Ovis aries: one gene and its partners. The protein of the gene in region 5 interacts with the protein of the main gene of each other region in a pairwise test. Links are inferred from orthologs where the notes say so. Each region holds a gene or a part of one and is shown on either strand. Other genes may lie near its edges. The genes, in order: CCDC185, EXOC7, LRRC45, C17H4orf46, KXD1, IFT20 and MOB1A.

The links.
Region 1: the proteins of KXD1 (region 5) and CCDC185 interact in a two-hybrid assay, tested with the Homo sapiens proteins (2 studies listed by BioGRID and IntAct). The two-hybrid records come from large-scale screens. The link is inferred for Ovis aries from reciprocal best matches to the Homo sapiens genes KXD1 and CCDC185.
Region 2: the proteins of KXD1 (region 5) and EXOC7 interact in binary tests that used the Homo sapiens proteins (3 or more experiments, as listed by UniProt). The two-hybrid records come from large-scale screens. The link is inferred for Ovis aries from reciprocal best matches to the Homo sapiens genes KXD1 and EXOC7.
Region 3: the proteins of KXD1 (region 5) and LRRC45 interact in binary tests that used the Homo sapiens proteins (3 or more experiments, as listed by UniProt). The two-hybrid records come from large-scale screens. The link is inferred for Ovis aries from reciprocal best matches to the Homo sapiens genes KXD1 and LRRC45.
Region 4: the proteins of KXD1 (region 5) and C17H4orf46 interact in binary tests that used the Homo sapiens proteins (3 or more experiments, as listed by UniProt). The two-hybrid records come from large-scale screens. The link is inferred for Ovis aries from reciprocal best matches to the Homo sapiens genes KXD1 and C4orf46.
Region 6: the proteins of KXD1 (region 5) and IFT20 interact in binary tests that used the Homo sapiens proteins (3 or more experiments, as listed by UniProt). The two-hybrid records come from large-scale screens. The link is inferred for Ovis aries from reciprocal best matches to the Homo sapiens genes KXD1 and IFT20.
Region 7: the proteins of KXD1 (region 5) and MOB1A interact in binary tests that used the Homo sapiens proteins (3 or more experiments, as listed by UniProt). The two-hybrid records come from large-scale screens. The link is inferred for Ovis aries from reciprocal best matches to the Homo sapiens genes KXD1 and MOB1A.

Annotation. Positions count from the first base shown.
Region 1 is NC_056065.1:26,077,260-26,080,963, reverse strand, and holds CCDC185 (coiled-coil domain-containing protein 185), read right to left. Parts: upstream 2,564-3,704; 5' UTR 2,505-2,563; coding exon 615-2,504; 3' UTR 501-614; downstream 1-500.
Region 2 is NC_056064.1:54,916,416-54,919,915, reverse strand, and holds part of EXOC7 (exocyst complex component 7), read right to left. Parts: intron 3,066-3,500; coding exon 2,997-3,065; intron 2,032-2,996; coding exon 1,886-2,031; intron 1,660-1,885; coding exon 1,507-1,659; intron 1,286-1,506; coding exon 1,187-1,285; intron 826-1,186; coding exon 763-825; intron 508-762; coding exon 441-507; intron 1-440. UniProt on the Homo sapiens protein: Component of the exocyst complex involved in the docking of exocytic vesicles with fusion sites on the plasma membrane.
Region 3 is NC_056064.1:50,381,679-50,384,330, forward strand, and holds part of LRRC45 (leucine-rich repeat-containing protein 45), read right to left. Parts: intron 2,356-2,652; coding exon 2,243-2,355; intron 1,893-2,242; coding exon 1,834-1,892; intron 1,543-1,833; coding exon 1,465-1,542; intron 1,009-1,464; coding exon 873-1,008; intron 793-872; coding exon 715-792; intron 615-714; coding exon 503-614; intron 417-502; coding exon 346-416; intron 1-345. UniProt on the Homo sapiens protein: Component of the proteinaceous fiber-like linker between two centrioles, required for centrosome cohesion.
Region 4 is NC_056070.1:40,564,080-40,568,292, reverse strand, and holds the start of C17H4orf46 (renal cancer differentiation gene 1 protein), read right to left. Parts: upstream 2,801-4,213; 5' UTR 2,563-2,800; coding exon 2,380-2,562; intron 1,119-2,379; coding exon 963-1,118; 3' UTR 1-962. Other genes in the region: ETFDH (electron transfer flavoprotein-ubiquinone oxidoreductase, mitochondrial), read left to right, coding at 3,231-3,264.
Region 5 is NC_056058.1:4,427,555-4,430,037, forward strand, and holds the end of KXD1 (kxDL motif-containing protein 1), read right to left. Parts: intron 2,331-2,483; coding exon 2,284-2,330; intron 1,490-2,283; coding exon 1,260-1,489; 3' UTR 501-1,259; downstream 1-500.
Region 6 is NC_056064.1:19,760,491-19,762,724, forward strand, and holds part of IFT20 (intraflagellar transport protein 20 homolog), read right to left. Parts: intron 1,928-2,234; 5' UTR 1,768-1,927; coding exon 1,698-1,767; exon of another isoform or gene 1,539-1,697; coding exon 1,410-1,538; exon of another isoform or gene 275-1,409; coding exon 189-274; exon of another isoform or gene 1-188. UniProt on the Homo sapiens protein: Part of intraflagellar transport (IFT) particles involved in ciliary process assembly. May play a role in the trafficking of ciliary membrane proteins from the Golgi complex to the cilium.
Region 7 is NC_056056.1:96,002,872-96,007,153, reverse strand, and holds the start of MOB1A (MOB kinase activator 1A), read left to right. Parts: upstream 1-1,482; 5' UTR 1,483-1,701; coding exon 1,702-1,715; intron 1,716-4,282. UniProt on the Homo sapiens protein: Activator of LATS1/2 in the Hippo signaling pathway which plays a pivotal role in organ size control and tumor suppression by restricting proliferation and promoting apoptosis.

The DNA of each region.
Region 1 (3,704 bases), on a different chromosome or scaffold from region 5:
TGGAAGGATCCAAGAGAAAAAAAAGTTCCATGGTTTGTGAAAAACTCTAGGTTAATCAAATGTGTCTTTACTGCAAGACTTTTCAGAGCCTTTAAAATTTTCAGCTGTGTTATGAACTCCCAAGAGGGGATGTAGTATGCTGTGTTCTCCAATATACTTATTGACAGGAATTCCCCCCATGCTTCCCCACCTCACTTTTTGTTCTTGGAGATTTCCTATGACAAGTACTTCACACTTCACCCTTTCATAAGTTCTGGGACAGGGAAAGACTGAAGCCATGGCACAGAACTCTATTCCCCACTGTAGACTTTTTCTTTGGTTCCTCAAAATGTGTCTGACATTCATACGCTTCTGAGATTACCTGAGAGGCAAATGAGTATTTTCTATTTAAAGCCAAATGTACAAAGGCAAGTAATTTTCTTAAAACTTGGAAATGTTTATCCCACCCTCTCAACCATCCCAATGAATCAACAAACTAGTTCGTGAGAGAAAGTTGCTGCTATTTTATATGCTTTTTAAAAATCAATGCTCAGTCATAATCAAATTAGAAAATGAATCACATTGCCAGATCTCTGTCTAGCCACCTAGGCTGGAAGCTGTTTGTCATCAGGTTCTCAGTAGCCCCCTCTCTGCTGCCCGGCTGGGACCTGGGCCTCCCGGGTCATCCGATCAAAGAAGTTGTTGGCAAGTGTTCTCACGTCATCTGTCCTGGAGGCCCTGGAGATCTTCTGGAATTCCTCGAAGGTTGCGTCTTTCTCTCGCAAGATCTGCTCCATCCTCTGCTCCTGTCTCCGAATGGCTTCCTTGATGCCCTCGATGTGGCATCTTTCCTCCTTCTCGGCTTTCAGTTTCAGGATGTGATGATTCTTCTCCCGTAGGATGTTGAGCTCCCGAATGTGGTGCGCCTTGTCCCTGACGTTCTTGTGGACCTGACTCCGGGTCTGCAGGATCTTCTGGTCCGCCAGCTCCTCCAGCAGCGACTTATGCTCCTCTCTCTGCTCCTGGGACTCTTCAGCCCACCTCTTCACCTGCTGGAACCGCTCCTCCTCCTTCTGGACTCTGTCCTTCAGCTCTCTGTGGGGCTCCTTCATCTGGCCCTCGGGCATCTCTTGGGACCATCGGGAGCTCTGTTCCAGGGACAGCTTCCTGAGGAGCTCCTCAGCCTTGGCCTGGCAGTCCATGAGGACCTTCCTGGCCTGGTAATTGACTAAAGAGCTGAGACTGGTCTCCTGGATCTTTTTCTGGCCCTTGGTGGGGTGAACGTGCTTCTTTAGACATGCCTGCGCCAGCCTCTTCTGTAGCTGCAGGCTGTTTCGCACCTGCAGGTCCCGCAGCATCCTCTCTGGCAGGCGTTGCCCCTGGCACTGCTTCTCCGGCTCCGCCTCGGGTTCGGAGGGGGCCCCCTCCAGCTTCTCCTGGCGCTGCTTCTCCTGGTCCTCCAGCGGTGCCTTCCACCCGCTGCTCTCCTGCTGGACCGTGCTGGTGGCTCGTCTGTCCCGCCGCCGGACTCGCAGCTCCCGGTTCAGACGAGCCTTGCGCTGCCCCTTGTCCTGCTGCCACTGCTCCTGGCTCTGCTGCAGTAGCAGCTTGCGCTCCCTCTCCAGGGTCAACTGGACCTTCTGGTCGGAGCGCTTCAGCTCCTCCCAGGCCAGGGCCGCCTGCTGCTGCAGCTCCCGCATCCTCTGGGCCTTTTTGAGCCGGCTCAGCACCAGGGCCACGATCTTCTGGTCCCTGGAGGATATTACTGCCTCTTCCAACTTGTTCTTGAGGACCTGGGTGTGCTGCTTCTGCATCTCCTTGCTGGAAACTAGGGACTGGGAAAGCTGGCTGGTTAATGACTCCACCGGATCGTTGCTGTGTCTTTTCTGGATGTGCAGGCAACCCGACTGCGTCCCAAACTCTCTGGAGGACACAGAAGACTTCTCCGTGTGGACTGAGGAAAGGGACCAGGGACGTAGACCCCTGCCGACCGGCACTGCCCACTGGTCTCCGCTCTGCGCCTTTTCGTCCTCAAAGGCTCGGTTCGCGGGAGTGTAAGCTCCCTGCGGGTAAGGAGGGGGCGAATCTCCCCGGGCGGGAGGGTAGTGCTGGCCGTGCTGAGGCTGGGGCTCCAGCTGCCAGGCCGGGCTGTGCCGGCTGCCTCCCTGCTCCTGGGGCTTGGTCCTTGTCTCCCCCCAGACATCCTCCAGGCGCCGGCTGCGGGGTCGGGGCTTCCTGACACGGTCTAGTAATCTCCGGGTCACGTCGGTCAGGCTGCGACTTTCTTGCGGCGAGTCGGAGTACGGGCGCCGGCTGGGCCGAGGGGTGGCTGAGCAGAGCAGGTGAGGCCAGGGCGCGGTGGCCTCGCTCTCCTCGCCTGGTGTCCGGGCCCAGGAGCACAGGCCCGATTCGGTCCGCGGTCCCGACCCGTCCAGCTGAGCCAAGGATGCGCTCTCCTCGCTGGGCGGCGGAGGCTCCCACAGGGCCGAGTGGGGCCGCGGGGAGAAGCGGCCGAAGTCCTCCATTCTCCTTCCTGCACGCCCAGCGTCTGAATCCGGGTCCCGGGTCTCGGCGGGGGCGCTGCTGAGACCCGCCCCGCCCTCCGATCCCGGGGTCCTGGCCGCCTGTGACGCTCAGGCCACTTCACAATGCTCCCGGCGCCACCTGGCTGCTGCAGCCCTCAGCCCTCGCCCACCTTGGCCTTCCTAGCACCCCGCGCAGCGAGAGGCGGGAAGGCGGCTGGAGCCTGGGAGAGGGCGTATGGTAGAGGGGGCTGTAGAAAGTTCGGGGCACCCTAAAGATGAGGGTGCGTAGTGAACCCCCACCTGTGTTGCAGGCAGGAATTTGAACTCGCATTTGTACATCTTAAACTAGCAGAATTTTAAAAGGATAGAATGTGGCCTGGAAGTGTGGGGTGGGGAGTCCTTTAGTCACAGGTCCCTACCACAGTGCACCTCTGCAGTGTAGGCAAAGTCGAGGCTCGTTAATTTATATGCACCATCCTTTTGCCCTTATAACTTAGCATGCTCAAGGATAGTTTTTTAAACTTTTAGAGGACAGAAAACAAAACACAATAGTTTGTTTCCTCCTAATACAGCAATTACTGCTTTTGTCAAAATAGGAATGTTAGGTGCATATTTCTGAAATAGCATTGGTGGACACCATGGCAAATCACTTTATTGTTTTCCTTTTTCTCCAGTTTTATGAGATGACTTTTTCGGGTTGAGGCATTCAGAGCTCATGGGAAGAGCACTAGATTTGGTCATGTAGACTTGAGCTTGACTCTCCTCTGCCACTTTCCACTTGTGTGGTCTTGGCCAAGTTGATAACTTTCCTGACCCTCAAGTTCTGGAACAGATGACTGGAAGAGGGGCCATGACAATACCACTGTAGGGCTGCCATAAGGTAGATGAAACTATGCCTCAAGAGCCTAGCACCTTAATACAGTCAATTAATATCATTTTGATGTCCTTCTAGCCTTCAGCTACAAATTGTAAGATTTAATACAGAAAATACATTTAATACATTGTAAGATTTTTACATATGAACATGTTCCATTCCAATAGTGTATTCCTAAATCCAGTTTGTCATGAGTCCAACAAGGTTAGCCTAGGTACCCAACTAACACAGTCAGCTATATAGTACTGTAAGGTGGTAGGTTTATAATACATTTCACACAAATAATACATACAAAACATACACAAAAAAATAAAACATTTTTAATC
Region 2 (3,500 bases), on a different chromosome or scaffold from region 5:
TTCCCAGCCCCAGTCACGGGAAGACACCAGGCTGGCCCTGAGATGCCAGCCGAGCCCGCTCAATGGGTCAGCAGTGTGAGACCAAGTAGGAGGACAGGCAACACAAGAGGAGGTGGGGAAGTGCAGGAGGAGGCGGGAGCGGGGCACGAAAGACACTTTCAGACAAGTGGGGTCCGCGCTCCAGGGCGAGGACGGTGGAGGGAGCCGGGGGGACGGAGGCCGGGGCAGGTGGTCAGACCCTGCTCTCCTGATGCTGGGTCTGATGGTCCAAGAGGCTTGAGGGAGGTCCCGTCACAGGCCACGACTCCTTTCCACCCACCCAGGGTGGGGGGAATCTCCTCACCCAGAGAGGAGGGTGCCCCCTGGGGAGGGGCTAACCCCATGTCTCTAGCCTGGAGGGAGGAATGGGGTGGGGGGCCCCACTGGGAGGTGTCAAGTACCTTGGGAGGCCAGCATGGCACCTGCCGTCTCCTGGAAGTCCAGGAGCTGCTGCAGGAAGAGGATGGCCTGTGTGGGGAGAAAACGGGGCCAAGAAGAAGGTTAAGGGCAGGACCCAAAGGCTGGATCAGCCCCCACAATGCAGCCCCTCTGACCGTTCCAGACAGGTGAGGGCAGGCGAAACGGGTGGGAGCAAACTTGCTGCTTCACCCTGTGGGTCTGGCCTCCAGGGAAAGGCCCCGTCTGCAGAGGGCACTTAGCGCCTCCAGCCCATCCTGCCACCTGCGCCCCCCGCCCGCCCCAGGAGTCCCCAGCAGCACCTACGTTGCTCGTGAGCTCGTGCACGGTGCCATCCTTGGGCATGTTGTATTCCTTGTCGGGGTCGTTCTGTGGGACAGACAGCCTGAGTCCCTGAAACAGCTCCTAAGGAGGCCCCAGCCAACCTTGCACCCGTCTGTGGGCCCACAGCACCACCTCCTGGCAGACAAGTGTCAGGACACCCCATCCGGCACAAAAAACGAGCAAGAGGGACCTAAAGGAGCTTGATGCCTCAAGTGGGGGCCTCTGGGAAAGAAAGGGAGGCCCGTGGGTACTGACAGGAGACCAGCAGCACGGCTGGCTGGCTTCCCTGCAGGGCAGGCCCAACCCACTTGGAGGCCTGCTCTCAGGAGTTCCTGAGGCCGGTCGCAGGTGGCCCTGCCTGCAGCCCCGCCTGCCGGCCTGGGTGGCGTGAACAGAGGAAGGGCACCTTGATGTTGTCGGCAAAGTCCTCCAGCGCTTTGGCTCCCACAGTCTCCATGGAAGTGATGAGGCTGGGCAGCTTGTTCTTGGTGCTGGCGGCTGTGCCCTGAGGATGTAGCCACAGGGCTGCACAGGGCTCCGGAGCCCTGCTCCTTCCCAGCCCCCCGCCCCGGGGACTGTCTCTTCTCCTCATTCCCCTGAGAGTGCCTCCACCCACCCAGGGCCCTGAGGAAGCTGCCGCTGCCCACCACTCTGAGCAGAGAATGCAGTTCTCCTGGGAGGCCCTGCTAGGCAGCATCCCCAAGGGCCCCCCCCACCCCCACGTACCTGGAGCACCTGGTCAAACTCAGGCTTGGTCTGCTTGAGGTGCCGCAAGATGGGGAAGACAGTGAGCACGGCTGAGAAGTCGTGGCGGATGATGGCCTTGCGGGCGGCCACCACAATGTTCTCGCCTTCTAGCATGAGCCCGTCCAGGGCGTCCTGAGAGAGCGGGGCAGGGGGAGGGCTCAGGGGAGGGGCAGCCAGCCGGCTCCCATGGCCAGTGAGGGGACCTGGAAGGGTGTGAGGAGGTGTGTGCCTCTGATCACCCAGTTCAGAGGCCCCAGGATCGGGGTGGAGGCAGTGGCTGGAGTTAAGGGCTAGGAACCTGGCCCAGACTCAAGCTTCTGCAGGGATAGCTCTCACTTGGGGCGGGGCGGGGCCAGACCTGTATCAAAGAGTCGAAGGTCTTTTTCTGATGGTGCTCAGGGATGACGTCCGTCAGCAGCTGGTACTCGCTCTGGGCCAGCTTGACAAAGGCACTGGCGCAGTGAATGTAGGCATCGGTTTCCACGTCCAGCATGTCATCTCTCCCTGGGGGGACAGCAGGGCCCCTGAGCTACTGGTCTGGGGTAGCCCCTCTCCCTGCTGGGGTGGGGGCCGTGAATCTCTCCAGCTCCTGGCCAGATTGGCAGCAGATGGGAGGAAGACTGCTGGCAGAAAGCTGAGAGGACTCCAGCAGAGCTGCCAGGGTTTGAGGAGGGAAAAATGGGGCTGAGTCCAGCCTTGGTCTGAGCTTCATTTTCAGCTCTGCTGTGGGCAGTATTACTATCCCAGAGCGTCAGGTGTGGGAGGTGTGGGGGAGGATTCAAGGACAAGAAGACCCCTCAGTCTACTTCCCGGAGAAGACACGTCTGACCCCAGACAGGGGATTCTGAACTGTACTGGGAAGACGACACCCAGGGATGGGCAAGAGGCAATGTCCACCCCAAGGAGGTTGGCGCCATCTCAGAAGATGCTGGGCCTCTAAAGGCAGACACCGGCCTGGCCAGGCCTGGAATGTATAAAAAGGCAGTGGGCTCTGGTTTATGAGGCTAGCTGACATGGGATTAAAGTTGAAGAGCAGGCCACGTGAGCCCCAGACAGGGAGGATTGCTTGGTTGTCAGCTGCCCCAGGAGGAGCAGGGGGTCCCTCCCGGTACTAGAGGCTGAGGCAGTGGTGTCCGCAGGCAACTGGATGCTACATGCCAAGGGACGGGCTCTGAGGGGGTCAGAGCCTGCTGCTGGAGTCAGGTGCGGGCGCTCCCTACCCTCCAAGGGGCCGCCTGCAGCTTCTGCCCTCGGCCCAGGCCCCGAGAGCCCAGCCTGCACTCCCGTCTGGAGAGAGGCAGGGAGACCTAGTGCCCGAGAGAGAGAGAGAAGGAGGCCGGGGAGAGAGAGAGGCGAGTAGGCCTGGCTCGTCCTCGGAGCGGAGGCCGGCTGGGCGGCGGGAGCGGGCCCTCCGAGGGGTGGCCGGGAGTGCGGCAGTGGCGGCCCGCGGGCTGGGCTGCAGTACTCACCGGCCAGCGGCCCGGCCTTGTCGTTCAGGGCCTCGGACAGGTGCTTAACTCGGAAATCATGCTCGTGACCTAGCGAGACGTTGGCCGCAAACACAAGCAGCGTTTATCCAGGGGCGGGGTGGCTGCCTCTTGGGTCGGGGGGCGCTGAGAAGAAGCCCTCAGTCTCCGGGCGGATATGAGATGGGGTGTGTGTGGGGGCACTGGAGAGGGCTCTGAGCCCCTCCTCTGCCTCAGACCACCTCAGGAACAGCCGTTTCAAGCCTGACTTGCAGTGCCTGGACCACCCTTGGGAGCCAGTTTCCCCAAACCCGGAGGCTGAGAAAGCTGTGAGGACCACAGAGGGTTTCTGAAGAGTTTCCGGCAGCTGCGGAAGGTCTGATGTTCAGCCCCAGGGGCTGAGTCTCACCGTATTGGGGAGAGATCCAGTTAGAGAAATGTCACTGCCCAATGAATGGGGACAGGCTCCTTTTGTGCCCCAGGGACATTCTTTTGAAGGCGGATCTG
Region 3 (2,652 bases), on a different chromosome or scaffold from region 5:
GGGATCCCCACCCTGGGGGGCAGATGAATCTTGGGCACCCTGTTCCTTCCGAGTGGAGGCTACCCCAAGTGGCTTCGTAGGAAGCTAGGACGGAGGGCAGGTCCCAGGGCTGCACCCCAGGTGCAGCCTGCACTGTGGCTCGGGCACAGTCAGTCAGGGTCCCTTCTAGAAACCGGTGGGGAGGGTTTAGGTCTGACATCTGCCAGGACTGTCATCAGCAGTCCAAGGTTGTTGAGGGAAGCCAGGCCAGGAGTCTGCCTGGGGAACACCGTGCCCCACTGAGGTATCTGCATGCCCCGGGGTAGCGGGGAGGACGAAGCCCAGAAGACACAACTGATAAGGCACCTCCTTGAAGCGCAGATGTTCCGCGTCCTCCAAGCTCTGCCGGGACCTGTTCTTCTCCAGCTCCAGGCGTTCTGGAAGCACAGGGGAGGCGTGTGAGTGGGACTCCTCAGGGGGCCCCTGGTCCTCAGGCCCCAGCAGCAGGCTTGGCTGTGCTGACCTTCAGCCTGGATGGCCCGCATCTTCAGCTCAGCCGTCGTGTTGGTCAGCTCCGTTTTGGTCAGGAACAGCTGCTCCTGCTGAGATTTCACCTTCCGCTCCAGCTCATCCACCTGCAAAGTCGGCACGGAGGGAGGAAGCTACGTTCTGCTTTCCCGAAGCCCCACCCCAGGCTTCCCAGGGGCTGGCCCCACTCCCACCCCCACCCCATACCTGGTTTCGCAAAAGTAGGTTCTTCTCATTGGCAGCAGACAAGTCTCTGAGGAGCTTAGACTCCCGTTCTGCAGCTTCCTGGGGGTGACATGGCAAAAGGGTGTCGGTGGCCATCTGCCACCACGCACCCCCGGCCTGCCCACCCCACACCCACCCACCTGCTGCTCCAGCCTGTGCTCCTTGGCTTGCCTCTGCACCACGCTCCGCTGTTCCTGCTCTGTAGTGGCCAGGAGCTCCCCCAGGTCCTGGGCCTTCTGCTCCGACAGAGCCAGGGCGGCCTCCGTCATCTGCAGTCTGCAAGGAGGGAAGGGCCATCCCCACCCCAGCCAACCTCTAGCCTTTGCTAAGGTCATTCTTGCCAGGCCACTGCCCCTGCTAGTGCCCCTTGAGCTAGTCTAGGCTCCTCAGAGACTTGTCTGATGCCAGTGAAAAGAACTTGCTTTTGCAAAACCAGGGAAGGGGATGGTGGGGGAGTGGGACCAGGCTTCTGGGGAGCCTGGGGTGGGGCTTGGGGAAAGCGGACGAAGCTTAACCTTCCCTCCCTCAGTGCCCAGTGCCCGGCTTTGCAAGCGGATGAGTTGGAGCTCCTCCCAGAAAGCCTTCTCAGTAACTACCCTAGTGGTTTCCCTGACTTCCTTTGTGCAGTGGAACTTGAGTCCCTATTAGGATGGTCTTCCTGCCCTGTGGGCAGGTCTCTAAAGTGTTCTGAAACCTCCTCATACTCCCATCCTGCCCTCTGCCCCTCCTTACTTGGCCTTGAGGGAATTGATGATGGAGTGCCTCTCGTTCAGGGCTTCCTGAAGCTGCCCCACACGCGCAGCCGATGCCCTGTGGACAGAGAAGAGGGTCCCAGGGGCCCAAAGCCGAGTCGTCTGAGCCCCTCCCTGAAGCGGCTGCTGCCCCTCATGCTCACACAATGCCCAGGTGCGGGCTAAGGCAGTGCTCAGTGGAGCCTCGAAGCCTCCAGCCAACTCCCTCAGGAAATACAGCCCACATCCTTGTCTGTGGGGAGAGGACCAGGCTCACATGTTAGGTCACTCCAAGGCCAGAGCCAGGACTCAGACTCCCAGGTTCCCCCACTGCACTGCCGCCCTGCCCTGGACCTGGGGCCAAGCTCACTTGCTGCTCTTGGCCATCTCTTCTCTCTGTCTGTCGATCGTCTCCATCAAGTCCAGAAACTGGGGACAGAGCCAGGCAGAGCCCATCAGAGCCCAGAGCCCAGAGCCTGCTCATGCCCCACGGTTGGCAAGAAAGGAGGCCGACATTTACTGAGGCAGCAGGACACCAAGGAGCTGAGCCTCATCCAAGGAGAGGGTGGCTGCCAGACAGGGAGGCCCAGAGGGGAAGCCCACCCACCCAGCTGAAAAGCATCAGAAAAGAGGCTGCCTCGGGCCTAGGTACTGGCTTCTTGGAGAGGCTCCAGGGCTCAGAGGGAGGGAAGAAGGCCACGGCATGGGGGCTGAGGGAGCTCTGTCCACACAGCCAGGGCGGGGCGAGGCTCTGCAGTCAGAGGCAGCATTGTCCTTACCTGCTTGGACTTCTCTTCCCGGAGGTGCCGCACCTCCTTGCTGAGCACCTGGGCACGAGCCTGACTCTCCCGGAAGACAGTCTGCCGGTCCTGGTTGTGGTCCATGGCTTGCTCTGTTGGAAGCCGCACAGATCAGACCCCCCAGTGCACTAAGCAGGTGAGAGGCTCAGAGGCGGTGGGGCTAGGGGATGGGGCAACAGTGAAGCAAGGAGCAGGGGAGGCACCGGGTCGGGGGGACAGGCACGTGGAAGAGGTAAAGAGGCTGCTCAACAGTCATAAAAGGTGGGCATTTGGATTCTGCCCCAAAGCTTAAAAGCCAACATGTGATTTTTAAGAGGTGAATGTCATGCTCAGCTCCCATGTTTTGGACAGATCCAGGCAGCATTTGGAGAGGGACCGGCCAGAAGCGG
Region 4 (4,213 bases), on a different chromosome or scaffold from region 5:
TCAAATAATATGAAAACAATTACATCATTTAAATTTGATGCATTTTTTTAAAGTACTTGTTTGGAATTATTACACTCAGAATTTAAAATTATTACCTGCCAAGCTCCAAAAGTAATACTACAAAGCCATAATTTTGATAAGGCACTTTAAGGAGAACAATTAAACATACAAAACAGTGAATATAAGAAATATCCATAAAAGCAGTTAACCTCAGAAATAGAGGGGAAAAAAATACGTATTTTTTCAAGACAGGCTTCAGTAAAAGTTTTTTTGAAAAGCATCACAGAGGGGTGAAAAATATTTATCATGTGTTTTTAAAAGTTATCAAAGTTCAAATTCCTGTTAAAAAAAAGAAAGATAACATTTTCCTTAAAGTCAGTGAAGTTCTGACTCAAATACTTTTTCAAGAAACAATTAACATCTTTACGCTAAAGTTAAAAGAAAAAGCAGCTTTTAATTATGCTGTCAACTCTTATTTAACAAACATTTAGTGACTGTTGTGTAACAGTGTTTTAGGTTGCTGGAAATATGTAAGCAACTAAGACACAATCATTGGTTCTAGGGAACTTAGCCCAGTGGAGCTAAATCTAACATTGGTAACATGAAAGTTTACTTTCTTTGGGCCATAAATAAAGCTCAATTTCAAATTCTGCTCTTCTTGGCATCTTCTTGCAAATAGAAGAGCATAATGGTTCACCTCGTTTGCTACTGGCAACACTGTGGCATTATTACCTACTGATTAACTTTCATAAAAGAGTCTTTGAAAGTTCAGAGAACAGAAAGTGTTTAAAGATAAAAAAATATGAATCAGCCTCAAAAATAACATCAGCATTCTGTTTTCACAAAATGAAGAAAACCAAGAAAATTTTCATCTTTAAGTATCCAGAACCGTGCGATCATCCAGTCTCCATGGTACATGCGCAAACATCATAGATGAGGAGGTATGCATTATTACAGTCAAGTCAGTCATCAGGCTTCAAGGAATCATAGCCTTCTTTCAAGAGGTCCCGCCATGTTTTAAGGAAACGTGCATTTTCTGTACATTTGAAGGCAAGCTCTTCCACTTGAGCTGATACTGCAGATGTGGCTTCCAGAAGTTTGGTTAATGAAAATGCTGCCTGAAAATTAAAAAAAAAAAAAAAAAAGTAAAACTATATGTTTATTTTTAAAATTCTCTCCCTATTTTATGAACCTGGCTGAAAATAGCTTAGAATCCAATGCCCAAGTTCTTTTCTTTAAAAAGTTAAAAATCTTCAAACTACGACATGCCAGCTCTTTAGTGGAACCTAAAAAAATTGTCTACATTAAGTAAGCTTTGAGGACATCTGTCTACTAGAAAGATATACATTATGTATGAGACATGACCAGTCAGCATCTTTTTCGGGTGATAATACACTAGTCTCATTTAGCTCAACAAGACGACTTGAGCCCGTTGACACCAAGAAGTATTTGAAGGACTTATGATACAGCTCTTACTGATGGGAGGGAGCGACTTGCTCCGCTATTTTCATCTGTTTAACACTGCAGACCATGAAACCGTATGAACCAAAGAACAGACACTCTGAGCTCACAATTAACACCAACAAAAACAACACCCATGCAGAAAACACTGCAACCTTGGTGGAAAACTCATTTCTTGATCAAATGCTTTCTTCACCCACCGTATAAAATAACACTGTTCCTGGGTAACAAACATATCAGCACTGCATTCTACACGCTCATTTGGAACAGCCTGGTTCAGCAAAGATGAAGCTGTGTCAGCATTTCAGCCATCTTTTTAAAACAACAAATACTTGCTGAGGAATGAGAGAATAAAGGAGTTCACCCCGCGGTTTGCAACCTGCACAGGAGGATCTCCCGGTTAAGACGACACCCTACAGACTTCATTCACTTGACCTTAAATCGAGAAACCCGACTGTGTAGCTGGGTGGCTGTGAGTGTACGCGCGCGTCTACTAACTGGAGACTCAACAGAAGCCGTCCAGACCAGGAATCCCGGCCATCAGAGGGACGGGTCTTTGTATTGTTAGGGGTAGCAATCTGGACCACGGGGCGGGGACTAACCCATCCTAACTGGGTCCGCTCAGAATAATCATCGCCTACCCAGCAGGCTCTGGGCAGGCGGCCAACTAAACAGGGCGAGGGGGAGGGAGACGGATCAAGTCCCAGCAGAGGAATCCCTGTCTGGCCCTCAGCCCCGCAGACGAGGCAGGGCGGTGGGTTTGTGAACTGCGCCGTTTCGGGTTACACCGCGAGAGCGGAACCAGACCTCCAGGCACAAAGACCCCGCGCGGGCGCGGCGGGAGAGGGATGCCCTGGACTCCCGACGCGGCTCTTGAATACGTGCGGGACACGGCCCGGACCCGCCGGCCGCACTCACGTCTCCGATCTGCAGCTCCACCTCTTCCAGCGGGTCCACCAGTCGGCCGCTGCTCCTGCTCGGAACAGGCCAGCCCAAACCCCCTGGGGCGCCGGGGGAAGATGCTGAAGACGTGTCTGGAGAAGAAGGAGAAGAAGGGGGCGGCGGCGGCGGGGAAACCTGCAGCCCTTCAGGGTTCGCCATGGAGCGCGGCTGGGCGACTGGACCGGACTTGGGAGGCCGAACCAATACCAACCGTCTTTCAACCGCTCGCGCCCAAAGCCCAGCGGGCCCGCCTCCTCTCGGCTCTCCGCCGGGGACCGCGAAGCCGTGTCACTTTCTCGGGACAGCCAATCAGATGCCAATGAGTTCGCCTGAGGCTACTCTCCGCTCCGGGGGAAAACCTCCCAACGGGTTCCCAGACGCCGGAACAGAAGACCACAGCTCCCAAGGTGCCGTGCGCGCCGCTACGCCTCACAGTCTTGGGGCTCTGCGCGCGATTCATCCTGGGATTTGTGGTCCCCCCGCCCCCCACTCCCCAACCATTCCGGCGCTCTCAGCGCACGCCGGGTGAGAGGCCGTGCAGCCTGCAGCCGCGGGCGGCGCTGGGACTTTGAGTCCCTTCCCGTGCCCCTTCGGTCCGTGACCCGGAAACGCTGCGGGCGTCGCGTCGCGTCACTCGGGGCGCCCGCGCATAGCAAGACAGGCGGGAGCGTGGTGAAGCTGGAGCGTTCCGCGGAGCAGGCAGGTGGTGACTGCTTGCGTCTCGGCCGGCGATGGCGCCCCCAGTGGTTTAGAGGTCCCGCGCCCGTACGAGCCAAGCCCAACCTCCTCCCCGGCGTCGGCCAGCGTCCTGTCTGTCTGCTGTGAACATGCAGGTGCTGCTGGCCAGATTGGCCTGCCCGGGTGAGCGGGGTCTGCGGGCGCGGGTTGACAGAGCAAGGTCGCGGGGCAGTCCGGGCTCGCCTCGCTAGGGAAGAACTCGGGCAAGGGCGCGCGATCAGCGCCAGGTGGATCCTGGTTTCCTCCCCGGGCTTGTCCCTGTTGAAAAAGTTGACAACTAGGGCAGAGGTCACGGGCGGAGGAAACTTGTCAACGCGGCTCCCGAGCGGAATCTTCCCCGAACCCTGGTGCTGACCCTCCTCCCAAAGCCCAGATGTTGTCCTAGACTTGCAACAGCCTTGTTGGAAAATGGGTAAATTAGCTATTACACAGATTTTCTCCTTGGTCCTCTCCTGACTTGCGTCTTGCAGCCGTCCTACTCCTTTCTTAAGAATTTGAACTCTGTTCTGTCACGTTGACATTTATATGGTACCCAAGTCATCAGGTTATCTCTGGAGCCGGGAATTTTTCTGTGTTGTCTAAAATTGACTCTACAGCGTATCGTGTTATGGTTGCCCTAAAACCATCATGATGATTTGGTAAAATACCTCATTACCTCCCCTTTCACCTTAGAAAAAAAGTAGAATGATGTCATTGGACGGTTTTTGTTTGTTTTCCTTAAAAACAGTTAAAAAAAAGTTTACTCCAAGATATCTCTCAAGACTGACTTAATTTTTTCTGTAGTTTATTTAAATTTTGGTTCTAGAATAAACAAGTGTACATATTGCAAATTCACGGGTATTGTGTAAATTTCAAAAAAGTAGAATTTTGTCAGATTTGTCCACCATGTATTAAATAATTGGAATTTAAAGTTTCTGTTATGGTGCATGTTTTATGACACCTAATGTGTAAATACTGTTGACTGAAAAAAAATGCACAACCTAAAAGGTTGAGGATTGTGTTTTACTCAGCAGGCACAGGGAGCGCTTAGGAGACAGCCTCTTAAGATAGCTCTGAGGGACAGCTCTGTAGA
Region 5 (2,483 bases):
CAAGGGATCTTCCTGACCCAGGGATCGAACCGTCTGCACTGTAGGGGGCTTCTTTACAGTGGAGTCATTGCTCAGGGTACCTTACTTCATTGACCACTTCCCGGCGCCCCCTATGGACCAGGCAAATGCAGACACGCTGAGGTCTGGGAAGAGACCTTTAATAACAATGGAAAGTGCTTCAAAGATGAGGGGACTCTGTGACAGTGTCTGATGGGGAATGGGACCCCGTCTAGCTCCCTGAGGAGCCCACTTTGAGGCTGAGATTTAGAGAAATTATTCAAGGAAGTAGGGAAATGTGAGCAGTGGGAAGGCCTCTGTGGGGATAGGAAGTGGGGTCATTATGGTTGTCACCACTCGGGACGCCCACCCAAAGCAGCCACATTTCTTTCTAGGCTGGTGGTGCCTGGCGATCCATAACCAGCCTGTCCCACACGCAGCACCTGTCCCTGATTTGGGATGCTGGGCCCAAGGATGGAAAGAAGTCACTGCTAGATGCACCCTCCCCTTTTTAGTAACAGAGTCTCTTTATTGATAACTTCCCAACAGCATCTGTAAACATCGGGTACAAAAATATTCCACTTTGTTCTCCAAGGTTGCTCGGCTTGCTCCACAAAGGCCCTAGGAGAGGCTTGTTAGGCCCTAGAGGTCTACACCTCTGGTCAGAGAAACAGGGCCCGACCAGGCTTGGGGCTGAGTGGATGGCTAATCTCTGTCTTGAGCCTTCTACAACTGTTTCAGAAACCTCCTTGAGATAATGATTGGAGAAAGGATTCAGTACTTTCATTGGAGGAAGGGGCAAGAAGACCAGAATCAGTAGGCGCAGGGGTGGGCTGGGTGGACTCGGACGTGACGGTGCTTGGCTGTCTTGAGGGGGTTCTGACCAGGGGGCTGGGGCAGGGGGCAGCTGGCTCTGGTCTCTGGGAAGCTTGGAGTGTTGTTCAGAGTAGACCTAAGGCCTGACTCTGGAAAAGCTCCCTGTGCCCAGCCCAGCTCCAGGTGGACTGGTCATCCCCAGTCTGATAGAGGGATCTACAGAAGAGATGTTCTCAGTGACGAAGGAGCAGGAATGAAATACCCCCAGGAATTCTAGGGAGGGAGCCTAGAGGGAGGGAGCCTTGTCCCCTCGGCGAGCCCTAAATGACAGACTAGGGTGGCAAAGCTGAGTATCTCCAGGCAGGGTTCTCCGCTGCCACTTGAGACATCTGGGGAATGACGCTGCTGCCACCCTGAGACCCCCCTCGGAGCTCCTGGGAGCGGGGCTACTCGCCCAGCATCTCCTCGTCATCTGTATGGCTGCGACCGTTGATGGCGGGGGAACTAGGCCGGACGTGGGACAGGTCCTCGAAGCCAGGGCTGAGGGAGGGTGAGACGGTGTCGGGGCTGGTGTCACAGGAGCCTGTGCTCTGTTCTGAGGTGGCGATGGTGGTGGTGGTGCTAGGCGGAATGGGGTCTTCATCTTCGTCCTCCAAGAGAGATGCCTCTGGGATGTCTGGGGGAAGAAGACCCGAGAGTTAGCTGAGTTACCGTCATCATCAGGTGCTGTGATGAGGGATTAATTGGGCCCATGACCCCTGACAGCTACCTCCACCCCACACGACAGGACTTTGTTCATTTTACAGAGGAGGAAACTGAGGCCTTGGCAAGTGAGAGGCTTCTCTTCAAGGTGAAGTGAGGTAAGGACTCAGGTTCTCCGGGGTCTGGCCTACATGGGCCCTGGGCGGTGAGCCTGAGCCTGGCTCTGCCCTCTTGACTGTGTCACCTGGGCCTGGCCCCTCACCTGCCTGTGCCTCAGCTCCCTGCTCTATAAACTGGGGGATGATGGCATTGCCTTTGTGCCTGTGGTTTCAGCAGCCCTGCAGTAGGGAGATGTTGGCCCATTCAGCAGACTGGGTAAAGTGAGGCTCAGCATGGACGATGCTGGGCTTCCGCTGCCAAGTCACTGCCCCTCTGGGCACAGCCCACACCTCACAGGTGGCTACGGGTAACAGCCTGCCTCATAGTGGGTGCATGACACTCACTGGGCTGAGGACTGTCATCCTTGTCAATATCCCATTGTTACAACCGCCGAAGGAGGAGATTCTGATCTCAACACCTGCTCTGCAGGTTGCCAAGAAGACCAGGCCAAACCCCTGCCCACGTCTGTCTGGACCCACAACCCACCAGGGCCTGGGCCTGGTGTCAGCCCTTGGGGTACATTCCAGAAGCCGGCCCTGGGCTGAGGGCACTGACATCAAAGGGTGCAGAGCCCAGAAGTGGGATGCAGGAGTTCTGGGTGACACTTACGGCTGAAGGCCTCCGGGTGCTGTCTGGCCAGCTTCCCTTTCAGTGTCCTGTGGGGGAAGGGAAGGCACACAGGGCTGAGCCCGGTACAGGCCAGGACCCTCCTGCTCACCGCTTGCCACGCCCTGCTCCCAGGCTGGAGGGGGCACTGGGCGCTCAGCCTGCCCTCTGACCCCCATGATGGACGGCAGCTACTGTCCTGG
Region 6 (2,234 bases), on a different chromosome or scaffold from region 5:
CTCACCACAGCAAAGAGCGGCCCCGGCTCGCCACAACTAGGCAGCCCACACAGCAGCAACGGAGACGCAGCACAGCCAGAATCTTTAAGAACCAGATTAAAAACCAAGGCGGGGCGGGGGCGGGGGGCAGAAGGATGAGAGACTAGTGAACCAGGCCGAAAGTTAGACGAAATACTTGCTGATCTTACCTTCATCTTCTCATTTTCTGCTTCCTTTGCAAGTTGATCAACAAGCTCAATTAAGCCACCAACTATCTTCTGAAACTGGCCAATTTCTTTTGTGGAAAGAAGAACAAAAACAAATGTTTTATTTTTCAGCCTTACCACTCTCCCTCAGCATTTCCTTGTGGCAAGAGGGCAGGGCTAACCGCCTCTTCTAATTTGTGTGAAAAGCCATTTGGTGTCTGACAGCCTTGATCTGAAACTAGAGAAGGGTGGCCGTCAGCCCAGAGCTGGGTTGGGGTATATTTGGATCTTGAGTCCCCACTGAACCAGCCAGAAGCTGTAGCTCAGGCTCTGAGGCTCCTGATGGGCGCACCTCCGGGATGGACTGCATCCTGCTGTCCTAGGAATGACAGGAAGCACAAAGGACTGACCTCACAAAAGGACCGCCTCAGGATATGAACGCTGCCTCTGGCAAGCCGCAGGTAAGACTAGATTTGACTTGATGGGGACTGGGGGCTTTCCACTTGTGACCAGAGCTAATAAAAAGCTCAAAGCATTTAAGGAGTTAATCTCATTTGTTCAGTGTCCCTGGGTATAGTGGAACCCGTGTTACCAAGGAGTAAACTAAGACCCAGAGGGTAGGACGACATACACAGAGTGTTCAGAAGACGTGTGAGAGGACCCACTACCTTCCGCCAGTCAAGCTCTCTCTAGAGCCTATGGACGCCCCAGAAGGCTCAGATACTGGCTACATCTGCTCTGTATTTGCTGCTACTGGGCTTGTTTGGCTGCTGGGACAGGAGGCATCCTGGCTATCACTAGCTTAAAAAAAAAAAAAAAAAAATGACCACTGAGTCTTTTGAACTGCCTCTCCAAACTCCAGGTGATCAACTCTCACTCCAAACAATGGAAAGTCTGCCACTGAGAACACTATTTCTCCCAAGAAATCAAATCCTAACTCCGTTTCCCACCCCCAAGTCATGGTTCTGAAGTTGAAGGTTCCTGGGATGGCCTACCTAAACAAACATCCTCCTGTCTCCACAACCGTGTTTGATTGGTGTCCTGGGACTACCTGAGAGCATAGAAGGGCACGCAGACAAGGTGGGTGGCACATGGGAATTCAGGAGGGCCAGGTTCAACCTCCTGGGAGACAGCAGCTCCATTTGGACAGGGCCCAGAGCTGCAGTCGGGATGGGGGCAAGGCACAAAGCTGTGTGGCACCATGTCCCCCCAGACGACACTCACTGTCCACAAAGTCCTTGCACTCTTCCTTGAGCTCTATGGTCTGCTGGGTAACCTCTGGGTCCAACACCCGCAGCTTGTTCAGCTCATCAAAGTGCAGCCCTGCTTCAGCCAGGATGTCCTTGGCCATGGCTGTAAAGAAACCAGCCCCAGTCCCCAGTCACTTCCCAGCCCCTCAAGGAGAAGCCAGCTTCCAGCCCAGCCCCACTCCTGGTCCCGGACACCAAGGCCAAAAGCCCAGATGTTCCAAAGGCTCCCCCTTCCCTCTGCCTCCGCCTCTCTGAGCCTCACCTGTTTGCCTTCCAGCTTCCCCAGAGAAGAGAGTTGCTCTGACAGGGTCAGCCAGGGAGAGGTGTGTCATAGGAGCAAGGGTCAGGAAAGAATAAAGTCCAGTTGCTTGTCACAGGCATCGTTCATTCAACACACATTCCTGGAGTGCCAACTACATGCCAGCACTGCTAGATGCTGGGGATAAAGCTGCGCGCAACATGGTGCCCGCCCTGGAGGAGCACAGAGTGTAGCTGGAGGGAGACAGACACGGACACTGCAAAATTACACTGTGTTAAGTGCTTTCACAGAAATATCACTAAAGAGCTGGAGGAAAAGAGAACAGTTAACTCGGGGTGAGGGAGTGATGTGTGAACTAAGCTGGGAGCCATAAGCATATTTCTTTATCCCCAGTTATGTATCCAAAAGGACATAAAAGAGCTTTTCAAATATAGTGTTGGAACATGAAAGAAGTAAAAGAGAAAATTGGAGTGAATTAAAAATTAGGGTTAAAAATAAACACGGGAAAAAAAAAAAACCACACGAAGCCAGGGGTAAGAA
Region 7 (4,282 bases), on a different chromosome or scaffold from region 5:
GGCAATAATAAAAAAAATACATAATAGCAAATGTTATCAATGATGTGGAAATATCAGAATCTTTGGATATTTGCCAGTGGGAATGTAAAACGGTGCAGCTAACGTGGAGTACAGTCTGTCAGTTACCCCAAAGGTTAAACATACAGTTATCTGTTTCTGCATGACACAGCCGCTCCCAGGCATATACCCAAGAGAAAGGAACACATTCATCCACACAAAAACTGTAGCAAGAGTATTCATTATAGCCAAACAGTGGAAACAACCCAAATGTGCATCAATAGATGAATGGATTAAAAAAATATAGTATATTCATGCAATGGAATAGTGTTCATTTATAAAAAGAATAAAGTACTGATACATACTACAATGTGAATTAAACTTAAAAACATTATGGTAATTGAATGAAGGCAGTCACAAAACAACCACATATTGTATGATTCCACTTATATGAAATATTCAGATTAGGCAAAGTCATATAAAAAGAAAGTAGATCAGCTGTGCCTGGTCTTAAGAAGAGGGAGGCACAGGGGGCAACTGCTAATGGGTACCTGTTTTGGGGGGGACGTATTGGGGAAAAAAAAACCTAGGACAAGATAGGGGTTGAAGGACTCTGAATACTCTGTGATAAAAAACACAAAAGTGTACTTTTTAGAAGCGTGAATTTGGGGCTTCCCTGGTGGCTCAGCGGTAAAGACTCCACCTGTCAATGCAGGAGACACAGGTTCCATCTCTGACCCTGACCCAGGAAGATTCCCATATGCTGAGAAGCAACCAAGCCTGTGTGCCACAACTATTCCGCTGTGTTCTAGAGCCCAGGAACCACAACTACTGGGCCCAGGTGCTGCAACTACTGGAGCTGGTATGCCCCAGAGGCTATGCTCCCTCCACAACAAGAAAAGCCACCACAGAGAGCAGCCTGTGCATCACAACTAGAGAGGAGGCCCTGCTTGTCACAACTAGAGAAAACTGGTGCTCAGCAACGAAGCTGCAACACAGCCAAGAAATGATAAAATAAATAAAATTACTCAAAAATAGATAAAGAGTGAATTTTAAATCTCAACTTAAAAATCAAATTAAAATTCAAAACACTTTTTTTAGGGAATGAAGACTCAGGGCTTTCTACGCCTTGAGCCCAGGTTCCATCCCTGGTCAAAGAACCAAGATTCCACAAACTTCACACCACAATGGAAAAAAAAAAAAATTAAGGTTTCTGCGCTCACAAAGGCCTCTTGCCACCTAGGGAGACAGGAGGCACACAACAGCGACAATCAGAACCAAGCGCAAGGTCAGCCATTCTTCCAGGCCAAGGACCGTGAACCCACCACGACTTCCGGAGCGGAAACCCGACCTTAGAGGCCCCTGATTGGCTGAGGTGAAGGAGCGGGCGGTGCAAAAGGGGGTTTGTAGATACGCTCTAGAGGTGGGGGGCGGCGCCTAGATGGGGGAACGAAACCTTAGATCGCGAGATTTTGCTGGTTCCGCATTTTGGGTCTGGAAGGTGGGGGAGGAGTACTAGGCGGGCTCAGTTGCTCACACCCGCTCGTACCGTCTCTGCCTCGGTTCCACCCGGGCTTGGAGCTGTGGCGGCGCCGGCTTCGGCTGTCCGCCGGCTTCGGACCTTCTGCTCCTTCCCGGTTCCGCGCGGACTCCGAGTCCTGACCGCGGCGGGGGCCAGCGGCCCCTCCCCTCCGAGGACAGAAGATGAGCTTCCTCTTGTGAGTGTGGCGGGGGCTCCAGGGCTGAGTGAGGGCCGGAAGGGGCGATGGGGCGCCTGAGGCGAGGGCAGCCCCCCGGGCCGGGGTAGGGGTGCCAGGTGCTTGCTCTCCTAGCGCTCGGAGTCTTGGGGGAGTCTAGAATGTGGGCAGAAGCCGACGGAGATGAAGGTCGAGGCAAAGGAAGCGGAGCGAGAAGGTTGGGGTGTAGAAAGGCCCCGAGGCCGGTAGCGCCTCGAAACTTTTCCGCTCGAGTGCACCTGAGGGCAGAGAAAAGATCCGGGGCTCCCAATTTCTCTCAAGTCCCCAGCCTTTTAGAAACGATGCATGCTGACTAAGCTTTTTATTCCACCGTACGCCAGCTTTATTATCGTCAGGATTAAATTTCCCCCGCGGAAAAATGCCGCCCCTGGAAAATGTGGGAGTGTCTCTAAAGTTAAGCTGCGGCCTTTACAAACAGTTCTGATTCAGCCCACTTTGTGAATTTGTGTAATTAACTAACATCTTTTCAACTCAGTAGAATCCTGTTTTAGAGATAGCTGTTGGACCCAAATGAGCCTTCAAGTGGGAAAAGTTTGTAAATTCTCTGATGATTCTTAAGCACATTAACGTTTGGGAAACATTGCTGTAACACCTTTTTTTCCTCGAGTGGCCCTCTCTACCTAGTGTATTGCTTAAATATCTATTGTATGAGCGAATCCATTTTTAGTTATGGGCATCACCCACATACTTGATATCTAAGTGTATCATAACCAGAGTTCACCCCGTTTCTTATTGTGAGAAATTTGGATTCTTTTTTAGTATTTTGCTATTGTAAAATACGATTACAAAGCTTTGACTAACAATCGCTTTTCCCCTTTGGATTATTTTTTAAGCGAATAGCCTTCAAAGTGTGATTACCATGTCAAAAAATCTATGTGACCTATATTTTAATTGAAAGTTTCCTTATTACCAGAACAACCCCCGCCCCATAACCAGTCTTTTTTTCTTATGTTAATGTTTAGTTGGTGGTTTGTTTGTGGATGCACAGTTCTTATTTGTTTTTTGGACCTAAATATGGCTCTGTTTATTTCTTTTAAACTTTATTTTGTTGATAGACAATTGAGTTTGCGCTTTTTGGCTGTTATGAATAATGATGCTGTAAAACTTGTGTATAGATTTTTGTTTTGGATGTATGTGTTAATTCTTTTGAAAATTTCCCCACAGCCTCTCTAGCACTTGTTAATTGAATTTTTGATTATAGCACATCCTAAGTGGATGTGAAATGGTATCTCATTGTGATTTTAGTTTGTTTTTCCTTAGTGATTAATGATGTTGAGCACCTTTTTGTGTGCTTATTGGCAATTTGTGTATATTCTTTCAAGTAATATCTATTCAAACACTTCGACCATTTTTTTAATTGGCTTGTCTTTGGTTTTAAGTTGTAAAAATTCTTTATCCTGGGTATGTCCCTTAATCACATGAGTTTTACAAAATTTTCTCCGATTTTGTAGATTCTTTTCACTGTCTTGATGGTGCCATTTGAAGCACAGACGTCTTCATTTACATGAAGATCATACAGAACCTTGAGACATCTTTTCTTGCTAGTTTTCCATATTTAGCTTCCTGTCATTCAGCTTGTTTTTATTGTAAAGGGCCATTCCCTCTAATGTAATACTTCCCTATTAAATTTAGCTCTTTATTATGTTAAACACAAGCTTCCCATGTTAGATTTTTATTGTTTTCATAACTCCTTTTTACTTAACAATCAGTCTTATTTAAAATTCAGATTACTCAGGTAAAGTGAAAGTCCTCAGTCTTGTTTCCTTCACTTCCTGGAAGTAATCACGAGTATCAGTTTGATGGGTGGCATTTTCCATGCATTTACAAAATAGACTTCTGCTGCACCTTTCATATTGTAATATGTGTGACCGTGTATTGAAATCTGTGTGAATTCATGTAGCTCTGTCTTGTTCCTCTTAATTGCCGTGTGGTATCCATGATACAGATGTGTCATGCCCATTTCTCCACTAGTAAGCTTTAGGATTGTTTCCAGGTTTTTCACTATTAAAAACAATCTTGGAAAACACATCCTTATCGAGGACAGATGCCTAGAAGCAGAAGGGACGGATTGAGGAGCATTTCACATCTGTTCATTTGTCACTGTTTTTCTTTCTGAATTATATAATCATCTCTTTAGCCCATTTTTCTAAAGCCTTTTCTTAACCAATTATAAAAGCCCTTTATTATGTAGTTCATACTTTGTAATATGTGTTACAAGTCCTTTTTTTTCCTGAATTATGGAAGTTTTAATTGTTGTAGTTAGAAATCTGTCCATTTTTTTCTGAGCTTTGTGTCATATTAGGAAGACCTTATGAATGGTGTGAGAGAGGAATAAAAGCTTGCTTTTCCCCTCCAAAACCTGTTGTTTATTTTCCCTGCCATAAATTCCAAATGTTGGTGATTCTTCTTTAGTTTGCTTTAATGGCACCACAGTATTTTGATACAGAAAACTGGATTTTTAAGCTTTAAGAGCCTTAGAACTGCCACTCTCACAGCACTGCTTTCTGTAGATGAAAACAGGCCAAAAG